3 linked regions of the Oreochromis niloticus genome follow. The protein of the gene in region 1 interacts with the protein of each later gene in a pairwise test. Links are inferred from orthologs where the notes say so. Each region holds a gene or a part of one and is shown on either strand. Other genes may lie near its edges.

Evidence for each region. The genes of interacting proteins can lie anywhere in the genome.
Region 2: the proteins of aryl hydrocarbon receptor nuclear translocator-like protein 1 (region 1) and npas2 interact in binary tests that used the Homo sapiens proteins (3 or more experiments, as listed by UniProt). The link is inferred for Oreochromis niloticus from reciprocal best matches to the Homo sapiens genes BMAL1 and NPAS2.
Region 3: the proteins of aryl hydrocarbon receptor nuclear translocator-like protein 1 (region 1) and epas1b interact in binary tests that used the Homo sapiens proteins (3 or more experiments, as listed by UniProt). The link is inferred for Oreochromis niloticus from reciprocal best matches to the Homo sapiens genes BMAL1 and EPAS1.

Annotation. Positions count from the first base shown.
Region 1 is NC_031972.2:5,392,484-5,399,927, forward strand, and holds the start of aryl hydrocarbon receptor nuclear translocator-like protein 1, read right to left. Parts: upstream 3,004-7,444; 5' UTR 2,847-3,003; intron 2,742-2,846; exon of another isoform or gene 2,525-2,741; intron 1-2,524. UniProt on the Homo sapiens protein: Transcriptional activator which forms a core component of the circadian clock.
Region 2 is NC_031975.2:10,397,755-10,405,695, reverse strand, and holds the start of npas2 (neuronal PAS domain-containing protein 2), read left to right. Parts: upstream 1-4,932; 5' UTR 4,933-5,640; intron 5,641-7,941. Other genes in the region: brwd3 (bromodomain and WD repeat-containing protein 3), read right to left, coding at 143-172, 275-333, 502-535. UniProt on the Homo sapiens protein: Transcriptional activator which forms a core component of the circadian clock.
Region 3 is NC_031978.2:5,142,125-5,149,280, forward strand, and holds the start of epas1b (endothelial PAS domain-containing protein 1b), read left to right. Parts: upstream 1-4,147; 5' UTR 4,148-4,349; intron 4,350-4,481; 5' UTR 4,482-4,525; coding exon 4,526-4,551; intron 4,552-7,156.

The DNA of each region.
Region 1 (7,444 bases):
TTTTTATTTATTTATTGTATTTACACTAGTTAAAATCATTTGGCTTGTATTCTCTACTTGTGTCTCTTTATTTAGATAAACACATTTCTTGATCAATTGTCCTTTCAACCCCAACAATTCTTTACCTTTTTCCTTTTTTAAACCACAGAAGCTACCAGGGGAGAAATAAGTAAGTGTCAGGCATCGTATCTTCTTAGTTACATGCGAGGATTTCCTGATGGATGTGGAACCTCTCTGTTTAGTCAATGGCATGGCTCGTTAGGTTTGTCCAGCCAAAGCATATGGCCAGTTACTGTGGCCAGCATCTCCTATTGGGAATTAGACATGGGGCATGTTTATTTAACTTGGCAGGACGCCTTGGTTACATCCATCCATTTTCTTAACCGCTTATCCTACTTAGGGACATGGGGTGGAGCTATCATAGGATGAGGGGCGGGGTACACACACTGGACAGGTTGCCAGACCATCACAGGGTCGACACAGAGACAGACAACCACACAATCTCTCACCTGCAGTCACAAGTAAACTCAACATGCATATCTTTGGATTTTAGGAAGAAGCCGGAGTACCCGGAAGAAGCCCATATAGGCACATGAAGAATGTGTAAACTCCACAAAGAAAGACCTCAGCAGATCCAAACTTTGTTGTGAGGCATCAGCGCTAAAAACTGCACCTCCATGCCATGTCCTTTTTTCATTATTATTCATCACTGACAACGCTATTCACCCCTTAAGAAGGGCATTTTCAGTAGCTCTCATACATTCGCCTCTAAATAAACTGTGTCCCATAATCTCATTTAAGCAAGCCTCACCAATTGGAACTTTCCTTAAGCACTTGTGGGCTCTTATTTTGAAGGATTATCCAAATGAATATTCATTACAATGGCTAACAGGAAATAACAGCTACATGTGTAGGATCACCACTTAAATCTCATTAAAAAAAAGTTTACCTAGGTTGCTCTAAAATAAGGTTTTAAAAAGCTTTTTTCCCCACTAACGTTATACTTCTACCACAATACTTGGCATTGAAGAATTTCCACATACATTTTAATACTAGACTTTTTTAGTGTAACGTTCTCTCTCACATAATTACTTAGAATGATCTCTAGTTAATCTAAATTAGCATCCACATAGTCATGACAAGAATCTTTTTCTCTATAACGTTTTATATTATGCAGTTTCCTCATAGAAACCATAGGTTTGTCATTTGGCGTTCATGATCAACAGGACGGTTAACTGCAACCCTTCTGAGTCATCACAACAAATGTCTGCTGTAAAAATGTCTTTGTGGCTACATATATCCGTACTGATAAGATCCGATGTAGGTTGCTACCTGGCTAGAAACAAAAACAAAGACACAGTCTGAAGTTCACAGCAAGTGCCTTTCATGTGGTGAAACAGTTAATGGATAATCTACTCAAGGCAGGCATGAGAAACTACAAAAACACAAGGTTCAGCTGTCAAAATAACACACAAGACAGTAATCCAGCAAAAAAAAAAGGAAATAAAATTAACAGCAAACTGCCCTTACACAATGTCCAAAGGTTTCATATGAAGTATCCCCAAATAGATCCATAAACCCTGTGTACTAAAAAAAGGCTTCAGTGTGGTGAGAGTGACTCAGATGATGAATCAACAGTGACAACCAACTGTTTCCTATCCTGCTCAAGCCCATTTCATATCCTCCCAGTCAAAACCAGCTGGTCCTCAGCAGGACCCGCCTTGGTATTCTGAAACCAGGTATGACATGCAAGGAGACCTGCATGCTCATGGCTAACACCTAATCCTCCTGTCTGTCTCTAATAAAGACAGTACATTAGAAAACGGATTTCACGTCTTACTCAATGTGACCTGAAATGAGTTGCTGGGCCCATAAACACATGAGGAAAGGGTTTATTGATGTCAGGACAGAGGGCTGTTTTCCCATAGACTTATACAGGACAGGAAGGCTTTTCTACAACCACAGGTATCGCCCTCTGGTGCTCATTAGAAAGAATGAAGGTTTAACGGCCTTCTGCACTGGTTTCACTATTAAGCCACGTCCACCCTTTATGATGCCTATGTGTAACAACAAACAACTAAAATCATCACAATCGTCACTCACTCAGCTTTCAAGCGGTTTGGTTAGGTTTTGTTTCGGATTTTATATGATCTATCACACCCCATATCCTCCTGCTTAAATAATACACGAATTATATGCACAGTATAACCACAACCCAATCAAATAGCCTTTGATCAACCACAGCAGAGACACCTAGCGGTGGCCACATTTCCACAGCAAGTGCATACACCGTCGCGATACTTAAAACAAGCACAGGTCTCCAAATAAATAGAAGAATGGCACAGTAACGTTGAGGCCTTTTAAAGAGACGAGCAATGGAGGCTTTGAAGTTACAGGAGCAGGATGGATGCTGCTGAGGATACCCACCAAGGCCCGTTTTACACAGCTAGTGTGCTAGCGCTGGAGCTTTACTCACTTGGGTCACGTTCAGTTAATAAACTGAAAGCCACTGACCGGCACTTACCTACGCCCGAGCTTCCTCCAAGTCCGGGCGAGTCCTGGCACCACTTAAACCAACCCCGACAAACTAAAGGCGTTTTCCGCACTTTTTGACCATAACGGCATTTCTGCCCCGTCTGCTAACATTAGCATACAGCTCCCTGCTAGCTACTAACTGTCAAGACTTGGCCAGCAAAGCTAAAGTCCCTCCTCCTGCTCTAGAAAACCACACTGACATGACCACAGCGCTGGGAAAACATCGACGATATCCATCATAGACTGAAGCCCAGCAAAGTCACACAGACGCGGCGTCGACAAACATATCCTCGTCCTTGTGTTATACTTACAAAAGATCCAGGGGGACTAATCCATCCATTGAACGTCGCTGGTAATATGTAATAGCAACACACAGAAGTGTGACATAAACGATTTTCAATCGGTGACCCAGTTTCTCTTCACCGTCATGCCTGTCGGACCACTAACCTAGTTTTTCAACCAATAGCGTTTGCCCTACCGTCGTAGGTGTCCCTTCAGCCAATCAGACGCGAGTTGAGGCTGGGAAACAATGACCGACGTGCTCGTTAGCCAATGACGGTCGGAGATGAAGGGAATGCAGACGCTAGCTGTGTGTGAGCCGTAGGCCCGAGTCCAATCCGTCCACTGCGCCCTCCCACTCCGTGACGAACCTAACCTCTCTTCTCATTTCACAGGTTGTCCTCGAGGTTATTCTGCTCCGTAACTAGTGTTCAGAAAAATCCCATTTAATCTAATAATTTGTAATCATTCTAGAAAAAAACATAAATGTAATTTTTATTTAGTTGTTTTTTCTCTGAAATTTTCATTTACTACAGAAATATTTGCTTAAGACGGTGGCTTAACTTGAACATATCAAGTCCTTCTCAAGTTCCACAATCACAAATGGAAATTTATGACTCAATTTTTCTTGTTTGTTTATCACGACGCTTCATTTCAATTATTTGGTTCTGAGGTGTTTTGTTACTTTGGTCTTTCTTAACAGTCTGAAATAAATTTTATTGAAACAAAGTTTGTAGATCCTGGAGTCCAGACACCAGACCAAAATGCAGATGGAAAAGGTGAGCAAGAGACAGCAAAAGAGGGGAACAGAACAAAAGGAATTACTTAACATAAGGGATTTTCTTATTTCTCTCATTTCTGCCTCCTCTCTCCTCCGTTCTTCTCACCGTAATGCGAAAACACATTTCATTACACATTTTGAAGGACATTTCAATTCCCAAAGTGCATTTGGTCCAGTAACGAATTAGGGAATGATATGGGACTCAGTATACCACTGATTGTTCCTCTTACTCTAAATCACAGACATTAAGTTGGTGCAGCATTGTTACTTGAAACTATGATAATGAAACTAATTGTGCAAAAGAAGATTGTGGCTTTTTTCAGGTGGATATCTCCTGTTCTTCAAAAGTTATGAAGGTCAAAAAAAAAAAAAAAAAGCTGGACCCATATATAACATATACTATATACACTATACAACCCACCTTTCAGAAGTAGTTAATTTAATATGGAATAACTATTTTCTGGAATTAAGACTTTCTTGAAGATGACGTGCAAGTAGGACAGAGGGTACAGGAAACACAGTCTAGACAAATGTGAGGTTTCTATGCTGAAGGGTTTTCAGTGGAAACAGAAACTCATCTCCAGACTTCTGGAGATTTACACCAAAGGGAACCGAGGCTGCGAGAAGAGAACGCAAAGTCCATTATGCTTGCATTCTTTTTTATGGCCAGCAGAGGGCGACAAGTGGGGTTATAAAAAGAAAGCTGTATAGAAGTTTAAACACATTCCTGGTGACATCATAAGCTCAATCACTAGTGTTAAGCTAAATTTAAGTTAAATTTAAGGTGTTCATTTTGTAAACGAAGAGGGCTTTACTGTATAATTCCCATGCTGGTAACCTGTGAGTGTGCAGTATACCTCTACTTGAGTTTCTCAGTCAGATCTGCCTCTTGCTTGTTACCTCAGTTTTAAAACATTACTGTTTGACTTCATAACAGAACTGTACTAAAAGAATCATAACATAATTAACAAATACATCAAAAATACTTGGAAAAAATGAGAATCAGAAAGCCTGGAGAAACAGCCTGCAGAGGTAAACGACAGCCTACAGAGACACAGACATAGAGACTGATGGAGACAGCCAGTCTAACAACAGGTTGTCTTGACTGTGAAGAAGGAGTCAGTAATTACACTCTTACAGTGCTGTGTGTTGATGGCATGGATGATTTATTTATTGTCTCTTATTTTTCCTGTATAGGATGAACTACATGCTCTGGGGTATTTGTGATAGCAGACACATGCACCAATTTAGATAATAATGCATGTTGTTGCAAAACTACATTTATATTTTCTACCAAAAACAGTTTGAATGGAATGAGAAACATTAACTTTCACGTATTCTTCCACTCACAGAGAACCCTCAGACATGATCTCAAATGCCTGTATAGTTTATGCCATCCAATCAGTCGACCACCTTCATACAATTCATCAACAGCAGATGAGAGAGGCTTTCATACTAGAAGCATTAGAATAGGATATAAACTTAGATATAAACCTGAAGGGGAAATTAAAGTGATATATAGTACTGACAGTGGTATGAAATCAATTTAAGGTGAAAAGCTGTGACACATTCTAACTTTTTTTTTTTTAAAGGGAATAAAAAGCCTATTTTCAGATATTACTGGATACCTTCATTTTCTTTTTTTAAAGGCCAAAACAGGGAACAAACCAGGGGCCAGCTATGCAGCTACTGCTTCTGCTGCAATGCAATTTGTGCTGTCTCCCCTGCTTTGTTCAGTGACTGCCAAATCCTGATGGAAAAAAAGTTCAACCAAAGACAGGGAGACCAAAACATCAAAACTGGTTAGACACTAGACAACTCTATTTGAAAGATTTGGTGGATGATTTCAGGTTTGTTCTGGATTTAAAATAGCAATACTCAAGCACAAGTGAAATTCTTGTGTTGCAGATGTAAATGTAACTGTTGTACATATGTGTTAGAGTTTAGACTAAAATCAATATTAGCTAAAGCTAAATAGCTGCAAACAGAAGTGGGCTCAGGTTTGACTCAAAATGACTTATCTATTAATCAGTTTCAACGTTCCTCTTCTTCATGAGTTGTAGTGGTATTTTTGATCCATGTAGCACTGTTTGGCTATTTTAAAAAAAAGAAAGAAGAAGTGTTTTTTAGCAATTTTGTAATCTTGAGCATTAAATAAGAAACAGTGTTATTTTTTCCCCTTTATGTAATATTATGATTTGGCATCAGCAATCAAAGAAGTTTTCACCAGTAAGTATTTGGGGATTCAAGTAATTTGGGTTTTGAAACAGTTGAATAATATAATGTAAGGAAACGGGTCAATTAAAAGACTTGACATAAATGCACTTTTTTTCTAATTAAAATATTGCCTTATTTAGTGATTTTACTTCATTTTGCATTTATTAAATACAATACGAAGATTTAAAAAACGGTCCATGAGTCCTTTGGTACCGGGCTGCGATAGTTTTAGCTCGGGTGTGAAATTTATGGTTTTCAGGGTTTTTATCGGTTTTTATCGGGGTTTTGGGGGGGGGGGGTTGTTTGTTTTTTTTAACGTTTTTATCGTTAATTCGGTTTCCGTTAACTGGGTCTTTTCACGTGTGTTATGAATAAACCTTCTTTGTTTTTATTTTGTTATATTTATCCGCGACACTTTAAAGACCGGTCAGCAAAAATATTGTTGGACATAAACCGGTCTGTGGCGCAAAAAGGGTTGGGGACCGCTGTTCTAGTGTTTCTATAATGAGGTCAGAGGAAAAGTGAGACATGTGTGTCTGACTGTGAGCACCAGCAGGTGGTGATATTGCTCTACTTACAGATGAAGTGCTCACAAATGGAAAGCGTGACATCTTTCTTTGTAATTGTTTTGCCCATGTTGCACCGCTACAACCGATGTTTTTAGGTGTGTATGAGTCGCCGCTCTACAATGTAGGCAAGAGCAAATATAGATATATCTTTTTTAAATTCCCTTTATTTTTCTTTGGTCGTGTTTTATATAACAGATGTTTAAGCTGAGTTTTGTTTTTTTTTAATTTAAAATAAACTTTTTACTCTTGAAGAAGATGAATTAGTACTTCCACTTTTGCCAGAGTATTTTTAACACATCTTTTCCTTTACGTACGTGACAAATGTCTGCGCTTTTGCCCCCTCTGCTGTATCATATGTTATCACATTGACAATTTATTACACTATTATATCTTGTTCATACAAATGCATTACAACAGTTGGAATTTTCTAAATCCATAATTAATAGCAACACACCATCAGATCTTAATGAAAACAAACTATCAAAAGGACTGACAAAAATCATGTAAATGTTAATTAAAATTACATTTTATATTTTATGTATATTTATATATATTTTGTATATTTGTTGTATATTTATTTATCTATTATTATGTATATTTTATGTCATAACCTGATCAACAGCCTGTTGATTATTCGGCTGTAATAACATCTGCTTCATATCCAGCTATTGTGTTGCATGAAGAACATAGATTTATATCCAGATTATGAGCTATATAACTGTTTAAAGTTAACTATAGTTTAATTTCCATTTTTTATGTGCATTTGTTTGTTTTGCCAACCTCCAGCCTGAACTCGATAAGAGATGAGTGGAAGGAATTTTTCTTCAGTCATGCAGAAAGGAGTTATACTGGATCCCCTTCCCAGCAGGACCCCCACCCCCCTCAAAAAACAAACAAACCTAAAAACAAAAACAGGATCTATTTTATTTGTTCCCCCCGGCTTCCTCCCACAGTCCAAAGACATGCAGTTTGTGGGGATAGGTTAACTGGAAACCATTAAATTGCCCATAGGTGTGAATGCAGGAGTGAATGTGAGTGCGATTGGTTGCCTGTGACAGACTTG
Region 2 (7,941 bases), on another chromosome or scaffold:
GCTCGTCCCGGCAGGGAATCGCGCTCCTTTATCTAGCATCGATCAAAACTACTAAAAAGCTGGCCCCAAAAAGCGTCGAGATGGGCATCACTACGGAAACCCACACATGAGAATAAAATCAGAAAGGTTCAGCTGAACCTACCTCATACTCCTCCAGCTCCTCGATCAGGATCTAACAACAGAGACACAGTTAGCAACGGATGCTAAGAAACCTACTTATTTAGACGATTTTTAACCAGTACGACTTGCTATTTTGTTCATCGTAAGGTATTACCTTTGCGGCTTTTTTACACGGTCCAGACTGCAGAAATCTGGCAATGAGGTAATAGAGTTCTGAAAAGAAAAACAGTAAATGAGCTTGGTACTAACGGAGGTAGCTATTGAGCGGAGCTAGCGTTAGCCAGCTGCGCTCGGTTAATTAGCTCGCTACCTGGCACACAACTGAAAACAGTGTAAATGCAAAATATTTAGTCGCGAATTAAAGCAGCGGTCAGTACTCACCAGCTTCGATTTGTGAACACTGTTCTCTTGCCATCACTTGGTAAGACAGGCGACATTAAGACAAACTGATGTTTTAGCTCGCTGGTTAGCCGCCGGCTAGCTAAGAGTAGCTAGGTGTGTGTAGCTAAAACAGGCTAGTGAATGGCCTCCTCTCGCAAGTTGTTCCCATACTATCCGCTGCTTTGGATTAGTGCCCTCTAGTGAATCAACACAGTACCGGACGGAGTGCTTTCTTCAGAAAGAATGAATCCATGTTACAAATAAAACTCGTTAAAATTTCACAGATTTTACACAACAATTGAACGTTAATACTTTTCAGCGGTAAAATAATTTTTTTCAGGATTAATATTTTAAAGGGTAAATGTATTCGTAATTTATTTTTTTTTTTTTTGGGGGGGGGGGGCAACAATGCTATTTTGTGAATAAAAATATTTGTGGTTTTAAATATATTGTTGCCAGTCAATATACAGTTGCAATTGTTGGAGCAATCTCACTGATCTTAATATATTTGGACATACAAAAAGTATGTCCAAATAAATAAGTTTTCTATCAGTTCATTTTCTAGTAGGTACAAATGCATTCGTCTTTGATATGAGGAGTGTTTTGGTTACAGTCTCTAGCATCTGGGTGTCATTGTGGAAGAATCATCCTTGACTTTAACAGTAACAAAGAAAATGTGCAGCTTGTTGAATTGTGAAATAGTATAGCATTTATTTCCACCAGCTCACCCTTGCAAGGCTGAGTTCTAAAGGGTGGGCTTGAACATCATTGCCTTTGTGTGGAGACAAAGTTAGAGAGGCAGGGTTGAGAGGGTTTGGGCATGTGCAGAGGAGGGATAGTGGATACGCTGGGTAAAGCATGTTGACGATGAAGCTGCCAGGCAGGAGGAAAAGAGAACGAGCACAGAGGAGATTCATGGATGTTTTTTGTTTAAGAAGGTTCCTAACTCAGTGAAGTGACCAGAATTATCTGCTAAACAGCCAATAAGAGCTGTTCTTAAAATGCTTAGGAAGGGAGCCCTAGAAATAGAAATCCTAAACAATGAGGAAAGCAGACTGGATCATTTTTCAGCAAGTAAATATAAGAAAAGAAGATGTGTTTAATTTTACAGGCTTTTAGAGGTAACTTATTGTAATGCTGCAATCACAGGTTTATCTATTCAGTGTTTTCTATAATTTATATATAAAAACCCAGCCACTTCACTTCAGTGATAACCAGAAACAGCTCAAGGCCAGCAAACCCTATAAAGGAAGCGTCAAGTGAGAGTGAGTGATGGAGGCCTAATAAAAAAATTACAAAATAATCAGGTAATTACTAATAAAAATAATAATGTTTAATAAAATAATGATGTAATTCACAAATCAGAAGAATTGATGGATGATCAATATTTTTTTTTTAATATAAGGTATAGATAGAAGTCTCTGGGCACTGTGTGTGAGGTCCTAGGGGCTGAGACTCAGGTGGAGCTTGATCCATAGAAAAGCTGCATTGTTTTTAACAGCTTCACCAAATGAACCTGAAATCTGTGTTTAACAGAAGACCTGTAAGACACCTAACATTATTTGATTGATCATGGACAGTTCCTGTGATAATTAAAGTACCGTTACTGTGCCACCTGGGTAAATGTGCACATGGCTCAGATATTAGTCTACCACACTGACACAGTCCCATTAATAGCTATATTCTGACAGATATGTCGCTGTGTTCGTAACAGACTCAATAGAGAAAAGTCTCTGCACACTTCTGAGAAAAAAAGCTCAGTTTAGATCATTTCTGATATGTTTCATGAAAACACCAGTATAATAAGTGGGGGTCGGCTCGTAGCAGGACTGCGTAAAGAGTTTAGGACGGAGCCATAGTTTTGGCACTTCGCTTACAGTTTCAAACCATCCACCTGTGCCAATCACAGACTCGTTCATAACATCTTGCAACAATATCTTTGTAAGGAAGGTTGTTCTCATTTGTATGAGCCACATAAAACAACAGGGTAAGAACACATTATGGTGAAGTATGTGTCCATTTGGGTAGTAAAAGGAGATAGGAAGTACTTTTGAAAGAGGGTGTAGAGGATGTTGTGCATAGGTTAAAAGAGAGGCAACTGATCTGTTGTGGTGACCCCTAAAGGGAGTAAGTGAAAGAAGGAGAAGAAAACCTCATGGCCTTTCTTACTTTTAGATTGAGTGACACTAAATTATGCAGTTTTACCCAAAATGATGCAGAACTGTTGAGACATATATGTTCATTATTTTATTCCTGTCACCCTGGGTGAAGTTTTCTGGGTGATGCACAGTCATGTTTTACAGCCTGACATGTTTTCATGATGAAATGTTTTTGAAGCACACATTTTTGCACATGTAGAAAACAAATTTGACAGACTTATGTATTTAAATAGTTCATGCGTAAACATTAATGGTGTATTATTCACACGTTCACAAAAAAACCACAGAGTGTATCGGTGTAATACTGAAGCTGAACCCTGCACACAATTCCTTGAAAAATCTAAAAACTGAAAAAGCTCCATTCATTGGCTTAGATAGAAAGACTCATGGAAAGGTTGAGAGCATGTCTGAGTCTCAAATAACCACCAAGGTGAGGTCACTATTTTATTTGGGAAGCTGAAAATAAATACCCTATGCTTTCCTTCTTTGTAACTAGCAAAAAATGAACAAACAAAGATTATGTATAAACGTCTTTTGAAGTTTCTCACCGTGTTTCTCACCGTGCACGGCTGACACAACACCCATCATCACAGATCACAGCTGCAAAGCTGAGATTGTTATTGGATTTTTGAGTTGTGGTTTCACGTACTCGCTCACATACGTACACTCTCAAGGTTCACTCTTGATCTCCAGTGAAATTTAAAAAAGTTCTCTTGCCGTTTGCTGTGGTTTCTTCAAATATTGCTTTTGAGAGAATTGGCAGCTTATGTTCACTTCGTCATTGTTTGAAGAGGGCTCTTTGTGTGTGAGTGTGTGTTTATGTGTGTGGTTTGACTCCACGATAAAGCATTTTATATATAGAATAACAGTGGAGGGATGGTGTAGACTTATTTCTCCTCACGTAGAGCCATGCCGTCTTTGCCCTGTTCATGAATAGCTATTCACCGGGAAAATTGTAAAGGAAAATGATGTGTGACGACTGGCCGACTCACACGCTTTCTCGCAGGCAGTTGCAAAAGAGTTTTCTCTGCAGACAAAACATCTATGTGGCCTGAAAATGATTTGATATGCTGTGGTGTCATTCTCCCTTCTGGCAGCAGCCTTACATACACCCTTCTGTTACGGTCATGAATAACGAAATTCATGATTTAATAGTCAGTCCGCTGTGAAATACAAGTATGTTTTAACCCACTCGAAGCATTTGGCCTTGTTTCCCCTCCTGAGGAGTGATTTAGAGACACACATCCTCTGAGAGGTCTATTAGACAGGATATCTTTTGACAGATGAAGTGAAGGAGTGGGGGTGTTGGCCTATTTGATCATGCTTTGGATGCAACTCTCGCAACAGAATTGTTTTAGAGTGTTACATGCTACCTTGTCTTTAGACATATGAAAATCCACAAATCAGTCTAACTTTGTACAAATGTTTCAGACTTTTACATACAGTGCCACTTGCTTTTTACTTCAGCAAGTCTCCAGAACTGATCTGCAGGAGTGTGATCTGAACATGTGCTTCAGCTGCCTTTTTCAAAAGGAGTTAACCTTTCCTGTCACATAAAGTTTCTTCTGTTTGTATGCCACCCTAGAAATATTGCAGATTTATAAATAAAGCATTGTGCAAAAGCAAAGAGCCACCTGTTATTTCTTTATATTTTGATTGGAAACTGAAAAATAGGTCCAGTGATTTTTGTACAAACAAGAACATAGAGTATATAGGGCAAAAACAGAGTTTGCACAATTCTAATGAGCTTGAAAGCCAGTCTAAACTCTTTTACGCAGCTTTCTTGTCACTTCTCTAAGTAGTCTTCAAGAAAAGTTCTCCAAGGTTTCTTGAGGGACGTTCAAAGCTCTTCTTTGGATATTTACTGTTAATATGATCACCAACCGCTTCAATAATGTTCAGGTCTGGGCTCTGGGGAGGACAATCCAAGACTGACAGATGTTTGGACCCCCAGATGCTTTGACCTACCTACAACACAGCATTTAAAAGCATATCTGCTTATCCACTAACATCTCAACCATTTTAATTATATGTGAAGTATGCATGATATGTCAGCAGCCAGGGCCATGAGTAGTGACCTGTAATGCTATAGCTGTAATGTAAAATAGCAAACCAGGGAAACTCAGTGAGATACACCTCTTCCAGCTTCAACCGATTGCATATACTGGAGTGACTCATTTGAGCTGTTGCACCTTTAGCAGTTTACCCATGCAGATTGCACGGACTGAACTAAAGGTGGCGCTGCAGCGTCCACTGATTGGTTGGACTGAGGAGAAAGTAGGGGACAGGTGCGACTCTGCGGTGCGTCTCTCAGACCAACAAACTTTACGAAGCCCGGCTGTGGCTGACCCAGAGACCACGAATCACACAAATCAGCCGAGCAGTGGTGTGTCAAGCAGCCTAAATGTGATCTTCAGTTGTGTTGCACCCACGCGGTATTCTACCTGTAGTGTTGTCTGGCCGAGAAACCCCCAAATGCAGACAACTGAAAGGCTGGATGGCGGTCCAGCCACACCCCCTTACGGTAACCCTGTGGAGATGGGCGGTATTGGATGGCACTTTCCTCCAATGACGTCGTGAGAACAGGCGGGGCTGAAGGACCACCTCCGCCCTTCGGCAGACTGCAATCAGCCTGCTCACATAACTTAATATAGTATGTGGACCAGTGGGCGGGGCTGTGAGCGCGAGCGCACACTGGCTGCTGCCGGAGGCTCTTCATTCAGCCTGCATGAGTCCGCGGACAGGAGCCGGACTGTCCAGCGCGCTCTAATGAACGTGTGAGGTTTGTAGGCTGGGTCACATCAGCAGCGTGCTGCAGCCTAAATACAGACAGCGGCAGGAATCGTTAGCAGACTGCAGTGCAGTTTCACCTGTGAGCAACTTTCTGGAATGTAACACGTCTGAGTTTTATCTGTTAAAACCCAGACTCTCACACACATATACACCCGCTCCTGTTTGGATCCTTATTCGGCAGAATAAGGTGAGTGTCGTTTTGTGCTCGATACTTGTTGCGGTTGTTATAAATGTGGCTTCAAATTGGAAACTTTCAAGTAATAATAATAATTTAAAAAGTTGTTTTTAATAGCTGCCCTCTTCTCCTGACTCAGTCTGCTTCACAGTGTTTTTATAATAGCAATAGATGGTATTTCTGCTTCTTTATGTCCCAATCAAACACATACATGACTGTTTAGATTGTTTGTTTTTTTTATTTCTGTTTACTAAGTGAAGAAAGTCTTGGTCCTTTAGTGTGTGTTATAATCATTATATTGTGTGAAGCTGTGTAAAAATCTTAGTAAGTGCAGTAACTACTGTATAATGGAACCTATGTGCTGACCTAGCTCTGAAATGTTAGTTTTTTCCATATGGAGACACTTGACTGCATCTGAAAAAGAAAGATTCTTGTGTGTGTGTGTGTGTGAGATTTGAAATATGAGGAATGAAATATGAATGTGGCTTAATTGGCACAAACAGACAAACAAACTAGAGTCTGATAAGCCAAGACACTTGTCCTAGTAAAATCAGCTCTGATATACATCTGAATGTCTGATCTGAATGACTGATGCTATGTCAGTGACGGCTGTGGTTCGGGGACCTGATGCGAAACAAAACCCAGAGCGAGGGATCCGAGGCATTTTTTTTTCTTTGCTCCAAAATGTGCTGCTGTCAGAGTCTAAAAGATTATCCTGTGTGTCCATCTACTTACACTCGTGTTGAGGCTTGTGCCATTTTTCCGGCTTGCTGTGTCAGTGCTGAGGTTGGCCCAGGAGCCATGAGCAGTGATGAGGATGTGTGCTGACAGCTGAGCGGGGCAGGATGAGGCTGTTCCATGACTGACTGAACTGGGCTGTTCACTGCACCATATGCTCCTCTTTATATCGTGCTGCTAAACATTTGGGCCTGCCTCATGACTCATGCTGTCTTCTTCTCCCTTCAGCCAATTCTAATCCTGCTACTAAATGGGACAATCAGAACATTGTTACACGGCGAGCTAGAAAAAGTGGTGGATTCCACTTTTGGCATTAGGTCTACCACTATGAAAACAGTATATAGGAGTCAATCACAATCCTTTTACAGCTTCCAGTAACTGACAGGTATCATGGAGAAGGCCATCCACAACTTGTCAGACTAAAAAATTTGGCCTCTGGGTGATAAACAAATGTAGAGTGAGCCTGGACCAGCTGTGTCAGTAGTGCACTGTGCACCACTGACACAGCTGTCAGACTGTGTGGGTGTTTCGTTTTAAGGTGTGTGTGTGGTAACCCAGAAACCCAGAAGACTGGTTTGAGGATGTCAGGTAGTGGGGTTTAACCATTTACGGTGCTGATCACCTGATACACGAGGCTGTGCACAGCAGAAACCCAATCTGCTAAGGTTCTGCTAAGACGTGTTCCCGTCAAACAAAGATTTCAGAGTTTTGAGAAAAGCTGCCACAAATGTTACACATCTGTTTGTTTTTTTATAACCAACATTTATTGTAATGTAATTAGCTTGCCCTGTACTCAGTGGAATGGCAATTTGAGACTTTTCTGCTCTCAAATTGAAAGTTTTCTTCTCTAATCTTCTTCATGTTGTCTTTTTTAGTTTTAGTCTCCTCCCCTGGAGACCTTTAAATGCAGGGAATATAAGTTATATTATAAGTTCTATCAGGATTTATTTCACCTTTAAGTATAAACTGAGCATGAGGCCTTGTGGACATTTCTGTCCTGACATATAACTGTGATTAGTGTCTGTGATTCTTTTTCTTCTTCTTGCATCTCTTTGCTGAAACTATGCTGTGGTGAAGGTTAGTTAACTGATGACACATAGCCTCTTCTCTGATGTTACAGAGCATGTTGTGGGGAAAGTAGGTTACTGGGCCATGTCCTGCAAGCTTAAACTGAAAGCTAGTCTGAATATTGCTAGAGCTGCTTAGTGTGACTGGGCATGCACAAATGGTGTAGGTCTGTGCAACAGCAAAGGGACTCCTCCTGCTTTCTGTCTCTTTAAGAAAACAGAGCTGTGCTCCACATAGAATGAATGTTGAATGTTCAACCCATGATGAATCATCACAAACACACATGAAATGAGGTGAAATCTCACAACAGGTTGATTAATAGATCAGAGGTTGCAAATAACCAATTCCCGCTTACCTCTGAGCACCAGAGGTGTCATCTTTTTGTGTGTGATTAGCTCATTTTGGCCTTATTGTCTCAGTACTGACATTGACTTCAAGTCTTATCACGGTGTTTTGCTTTTTTTCTTTAACAAACCATATTAATTTAAAATCTTCCACAGAAAACTA
Region 3 (7,156 bases), on another chromosome or scaffold:
CCTGCATCTGCATGGGTTCTCTCCATGTACTTCTTCCAACCATCCAAAGACATGCAGATAGTAGGGGTAAGGTTAACTGGTGATTCTAAATTGGCCGTAGGTGTGGATGTCTCCGTGTTAGCCCTGTCCAAAATGTACCCCAGCTTTCATCCCAAGGCAGCTGGGATAGGCTCCAGCACGCCTTCACCCTGAATTGGATGGATGGATCATGCTGACCAAAGACTTTGGTTTTGACCTTTTAGAGAAGGACATAACTACTGCACTGGCACTGGTGAGTTGCATTTAATTTAGAACTCACAAAATAAATAAAATAAATAAGAGCTGATTATCATGCTTTTGCAATTGTTGAAACAAACAGAAAGAAAATGCAGTTACAATTAAAATCCAATTCATCTCCGTGCTTTAGTGGCCTAACCTCGAGATGTCACACTGAAATTACAGGGATAGACGATGAGTCTTTTTCAGACACGCCATTCTCAGATCTGAAGATTTTGAGTGCTGTGTGTGAAAAAGCATTATGATTGGAGCAAGACTGGTCCCGGTAATACACCAGAGCCTACTTACGTCCACTGAGCACAATGCTTCCACCAGACATGTAGCAGCACAGTTCAGAAGTATCTCAGAAGCTACTTTTGGTCTCTTTAAGGTAGCACAGAGTAGAGGAAGAAGGCAGGGTGTCAGGGATGTTAATGGCATAGAATAACTGTTCAATTTCCAAATTGATTCCCCATCCAGACTAAAGCCTCTGCTTATGAAGTGCTCGGACATTTCAAGGGTGATACTGCGTTTTTTGGACCGGTACCAGTGCCAGTCAGTCAAAGCTGGACAAACTGTGTGATGACAGCATTTTTAAATGTCATCAAGCATCTTTTATGCTTTTTCTTTTTATGGTGTAAAAGAAAGAAATCTGACAACATACAGCTGTGATAGGCTAATATCAGCCAAAAGATGACAACATAGAACCTTTACTGCGAAATTGGTTTCAAATCGTGCTAAAAAGTTACATATGTGGTAATTTGTGGGAGTTGTGATCTAATTTTATTCACATGCAGATGACATTTAAATGAGTTGACTGTCCTCTTATCAGTTATGTCTAATGACCTTTCATTAAAGTCCAAGAATAGCACAGCAAGCAGCACCATTCATGTAGCAGTAAAACCCATGCTGTAGCAGCAGTTTGAAGAGCTGAAGATGTGTTACTGTAAATACAGCAGATCTATCGATTAACATTATCCAACTTTTCTTCTTCTCTCGTGTCTCCTGTTGCAAGTTTGTTTAGTCTTTCATTTGAAAAAAAAAGTCAAACTATTTGTCCCACTACAACTAGAAAGGGACACCTAGTCCTCCGTGCTAAATCTGTTTCCAACAAAAACATCCTTCATGTAGGAAACTCATTTTCACTCGTTCTCAAATGGAGGCGGTTGGAGATAAATGTAAAACACGGAGGCACGATGTTGATTTCAAACAGTGGATACAGTATTATGATGCATACAGTGTCAAACGTTCATCTTCCCGCAGTGTTACTGTATGTTTATGCGGTTTTTGTTGGTTTGTTCGCAGTCCCTGTATTTGTGAAGCTCTGTCTGTACATTTTGTTCATTGATGAATTATTTCCATGCCCTTCATTTGTGTTCATGTTGATTTTTTTTTTTTTTTGCCCTTTTGCGCTACGTGCCAAATGTACTGTATTTTAAAAGGATGTGAAGGTGTATTTTAATTTTTTGAAATGAATTAAATATCATGATGTCAGAGAGAGACAGCTGTTTGTTTGGCGTATCATTTCAGCTCCTGTGATTTTTAATGCTCACTTTGCACTGATTTCAGATGTGTCAAAAAAAAACAGATGAAAATATGTTTAATAATTTGCTCACTGTATTACATTACAGTGAGCAAAAAGCAGAGGCTACTGTATGTGTATCTTTTCTATCTGAAATATTTGAGATGTTGACTCAGGAGGACAATGTTAAACACCCAAAGCATTTATGTGTTTCTGAACAATGCGGTGCAACCTGCTCTTAAAACCACAGCTCATGAGAAACTTTGATGTTCCGCTCAGAATAACAACAATAGCTGTGACGCAGGCTGTCCTGCTTTATTCTGTCTACTTTGGTTTTTAGTTGTACACCTTACATATCCTAATTAGAAAAAGTGAATATTTAAACCCAGCTCTTGGTCTGTTCTGCAGATGCTTATACATAAACACAAATTGATACAGTCGTGTTATATCTACACCTGACAACCTGCAACATAGATAGAAATCTGGTTTGTAGTTCAACGGACAATGCCAGTAAATGACTCCCAAATGACAACCACCAGAAAAGTGCAAATGGTGAACTTGTCTGGACTTGAATGGTAAAAAATTTTCGTGATAAGAGATTCAATAAAAAAAAATCCAAGTTTTATGTAAAATCCAGAACAAGATTTCAATTTTAACTGAGGCTAAAAGCAGGACAGCAGGGTGTTTTCATTATTCTATTAAAGTATGAGTGGAAGAAGTGAGTTTGGATGAGTATACTTTCCACATCTTCGCCATTTTGAACGTTCTGGAGCCTTGGTGATGGAAACACTGCTGTGGAGACTGACAGCAGATCAGTGATAAGAAAGGCAAACCGAAGACGACATGCGAGGCTGCTTCTCGTGCACAGGCCTCGGGACTGACTCCTGCCCTACTTAATCCAACTTCAAACTGTAGTAAAAACATTTACTACATTTTATACTTTTCAAGTTAACTAAGACCACACGACATTTGATGACGTTGCATGATGGGGACTTTTAATCTGGAACGAGACACAAAATGTCAAGAATTTTTTAATGAAGCCAAGAAAGAAAGAACAAAACAGTTATAATTGTGTGTGTGTGTGTGTGTACATATACATATATATAAACTTAAATACATTTTGAAACTGGAAATTGTAATTGCCATCTGTGTTAAAACTTAACCTTCAAAGTAACAAAGTAATTTAACAGGTTGTGTAATAAAGTACTTACAGTACTACAAACTACAGCAATATAAATGTTGGTTGTATTTTGCAATTGTAGCTTTAGTGTGTTTCAAACAACAGATTGTAGATGCATCATAGTCACGACACACCTATGACATGCAGACTATGACCATGACATCACTCACTGGTTTTGAATTCCACATTTTGAAGTTTCAACAATAGCATTTTGAGTGTCGTCATGTGTTTTTTGTGTTTATTGAGTGAGTGTGGAGATGGTGGAATAATCAACACGGCCATCGCCCTGATTCCAGTATCTGGATGGATCCAGTTGCAAAAAGAGAAAATCATCCAACTCTTTGGAGGCTTTTCACCACTAGAAAAGCAGGAAATGGAAAAAAAAAAAAAAAAAAAATGAGTTACCTGACTCAGAATCTGAATTTACTGACCAAGGGTCTCAAAATGTCAATTCACTTCTGAGTAAGACAAAGTTTTACTTAACTTGAAATTTTAAGTTATTAAGTCAAAGTTTCTGCAAACTGAGCCTAAATTTTTACTTCACTGGAGAAATTACCAGCAACTATCCTAAAGGCGCTCAGCTTTGGAGGTTGAGCCTTACCTGATTAGGATTTCCTAAGTTTAATACATGAACTATAAATAATAGGCAAACACTGGCAAACTTAAGACTGGATTTTAAACTTCTTAGTCTAAGTTGACATAGCATTTCCTCCAGTAAAAGTTCAGCTTCGCCTAGAAAGGTCACACAAGTAGTTAAACTGTGCCTTTAAAGAAACAGAACTAGGATACACTTTTAAAGAGTTAAAACTCACTTTTGAGACAATCTGATCCTGTGTGTTTATGATATAAAGATAAATTCTCAGAACAGTTGTAATCATGGTTTCATGTAAAGCTTCATAAGCTTACATTAAAGTGAGAGGTGACTACATTATACTTCTAGTCTGGTTACTGTAGGCTAGTTTTAGGCCAAAAAGCGACTTTATCTACAGATTGTCTGCACTGGAGCTTTATAACGTCCTCACCTGTAGGAATAAGATCAGCGGTAAGGAGTTCAGCGGCCACAGTGGGAGGGGCGGGGCTGAATAAAGGGGCGGGGTGGTCTCCCGGTGGCGTTTCCAGCCAATCAGCTGTTCGGGACTGAGCTTCAGCTGAGCCTCAGGTCAGAGGCAGAGCAGCTCTGGGAGTTTGCATATCAGCAAGCGAAGAAAAGTTTTGACAAGCGGACCTGCGGGCGGCTTCTGTCAGCAGCAGCAGCAGCTCAGCGTTCAGCCTGTGTGGAGTCTTTTCTCAGCGGGTGAGAGGTTGTACAATCCTCGGCAGTGTTCTGAGACTGTACGGCCCCAATCCCCCAGCTCAATCACCGCCAGCCTGGACTAACTGAACGCTTCACAGGTTTAATGACTTCATCTGTCAGCGGGCTCCTTGTGACCTGCGCACTTCGGTCTTAAACCTGCTTTTTTCTCGTCTCCCTATTTTTTCAATATAATTTTTTTTTTTTTTTTTTTTTTTTTTTTTACTCTAAAGTTGGACTTTACTCAAGACTGTCGTGGAAACAGCATTGCGAAAATATGACAGCCGATAAGGAGAAAAAGAGGTAAGAGATACTGGATTCACTCCTCTCCTTCAGCCTCTCTGCGGTTTTAATTGCCTTCCGCTTGGATGTGACTTTATTAATTCGCGGCTTTAATAACATAGACTGTTTATTTAGTGCAGAAATTGCCTGACATTTGGCTGCTGTGGCACAGAGAGGGACCTGTTGCTGCAGTGCTGCATGTGACTTGGCCTAGCTTTGCGCTCTGTGCTTGTTTGGAAGGCAGCGACAGGCGGTGGTTTCACACAGCTTTAATCTTAGCATTGCATTAATTTTGATGCACCGGGGCTGGAAGGTAAGTGGCCGGTTTAGCCTGTAACTGAACTGAGCTTTTGTTTTGGAAATGAGCTGCCGATTGTTAATGGCTTTAACCACACTTGATTTGGGTTTCACTGCGAGAAGCCGCATTCACATTGAATTGTGCATATTTTAAAACCCCGAATGAACTTTAAAGGACTTTAAAATACTTTCTAAATATATTCAAATTTGAAATTTAATGCCATTTCTGATCTGCTTCTCGCTCATTCTAAGGTTAAACCACACTGCTGACTAATTTCCACATTAAGTGGTCCTGTAAACAAATCATTAACTTTTAAAAAATTATGTGTGTGTAAATACCTCTATAGGGGCTCGCTGTTGAAATGCACAACACTTGTGATCTTTTTAAATGGAAGTTCTTTTCTTCATATGAAACTTCATTTTTCTTGCATAATTAAACCCACATAAAACACTTTGATCCTGCACACAGGATGCAGAGCAGACAGAGAAAAGGCTCAACTTGCATGCAAAGTAGCAGCTTACTATAGAAGAGTACATGTCATTATAAATGTATAAATATTAACAAGATCTACATGAAGTTTTGAACAAGTAGTAACAAGAGGGGAAAAAAAGACACCACACATTTTTTTTTTTCTTTTTTGAGTAAGGCGGCACTTTCTAGAGAGAATCCAAGCTCTTAACCTTTAACCTCCTTTTAACAGAAGTCGGGCATCAGTAAAGGATAATCAGTCATTACAGCAGATATCAGACTGCCTGATCAGGAAAGTTCTAGACCTGCAGATATATTGCGGTACCTTGCTGTGAGAGTGCTTTCCTGCACAGGAAAGTACTCTAACCACCTGATGTTTAGCCAAAATCTCAAAAACTGTTGCTGATATTTGGCGGCATGATTGGCAGCATTCGTAGAGCTGTGACATCTTTTTTTTTCTTAACTTAGTCACATGACACAGCAGATAATCTTGTCCTGTAACCAGTTTGTCAAACAGGAGATAATTATGCATGTTTCATCTAGGTCAGTGTATCCCAGCACTGATCTGACCAAGGCCTGGATACTGCATGTTTTCTACAGTGAAGTTGTTTATAATTTGGCTCTACAACTAATTATGTATTGTATTATTTCAGGTTTCTTCAGTTTCCCTGGCTTTATTCCTTTTTTTTCTGGTTGTTAATTGTTCATCGGTAGCCATGAATCCTCAGGCTTAATCTTGTGTAATAATGCTTTACTGGTCTCAGCCTGTCTCGGTTTGTGTGGTCACAACAGCCCGTTTAGCTTTAACATCTTACCTGTGGGAAATTCTAAATTAGGTTTCCTGCTTGATTCCTGGTGAGAGCGTGAAATGATGCTCAACTTAACATTTAATTAAGAGATTCCCAGAGATTTTCTGCAAATTAATCTTTCACACTACCTGGAGAAGAAAACTAATTTCAACCAGTGCAGCTGTTTTTGCTTGACACCTGCTTGTATGTCCAGTGCACCTCTGACTCTTTTCTCTGACTCTTGTCTGTCAGATCAAGCCTAAAGGTGAACAAAGCAGGGGACTAAGGCAGGATAACTGTTCCAGGGGTGAAAACATTCAGAGAAAGAGGGAGAAAATGACTTGGGGAGATGGAAAGTGAGATGAGTATAGGGGCATTTCCTCTGACTGGTCAACGCCTCGGTGCTCCCACTGAAGACCTATCGGCCATTTTAGGGAAAGGGATCTCTGCAAGTGTGTCTCTGTCAGGCTGCACATGAAAAGCGTGTGTGTGTGTAAGTGTGTGAGAGTTCACTGGTGTTTGTCCTCTCGCTGGTGTGCTCTGTGTATGTGTGTGTTTGTCTTTGTGTCACACAGTAGTATGTTGTCACTGCTGCTGCCTGGAAGTCATAATTGGTTTGATAAGTTTTGATTCATGACAGCTGCCAGTGTTTATTTGAGATGCGGTGTCTCTCACTGGTTTTATTAATAATACTCATGTGGATGTGATGAACTGACTTCTTGTCCAGCAGGCACATATTTTCTGTATCCTGATACACAAAAAGATTTTAGAAGATTTTCACCACTGAGCCACTGATTTTTCTTTATAAGTTGGTGTGTATGTCTTTTTTCTTCCATGAACAAGCCCAACATGTTCATGGAAGAAGGAAAATGAACAAACTGTCAGATATAGTCTGCAAATGGGGAAAATAATAATAAGTGTTTAGTAACTGACTAATCATTTACATTTCTGCAGTTGGAACTTTAAAGGCAAATATTCAAATATTTGATGGGTTGGGACTTCATCATTAACTGAAAATAAAAAAAAATGTATAAGTCAACAAATAGTACAAGACTTGATGAGGGGAAAAAGT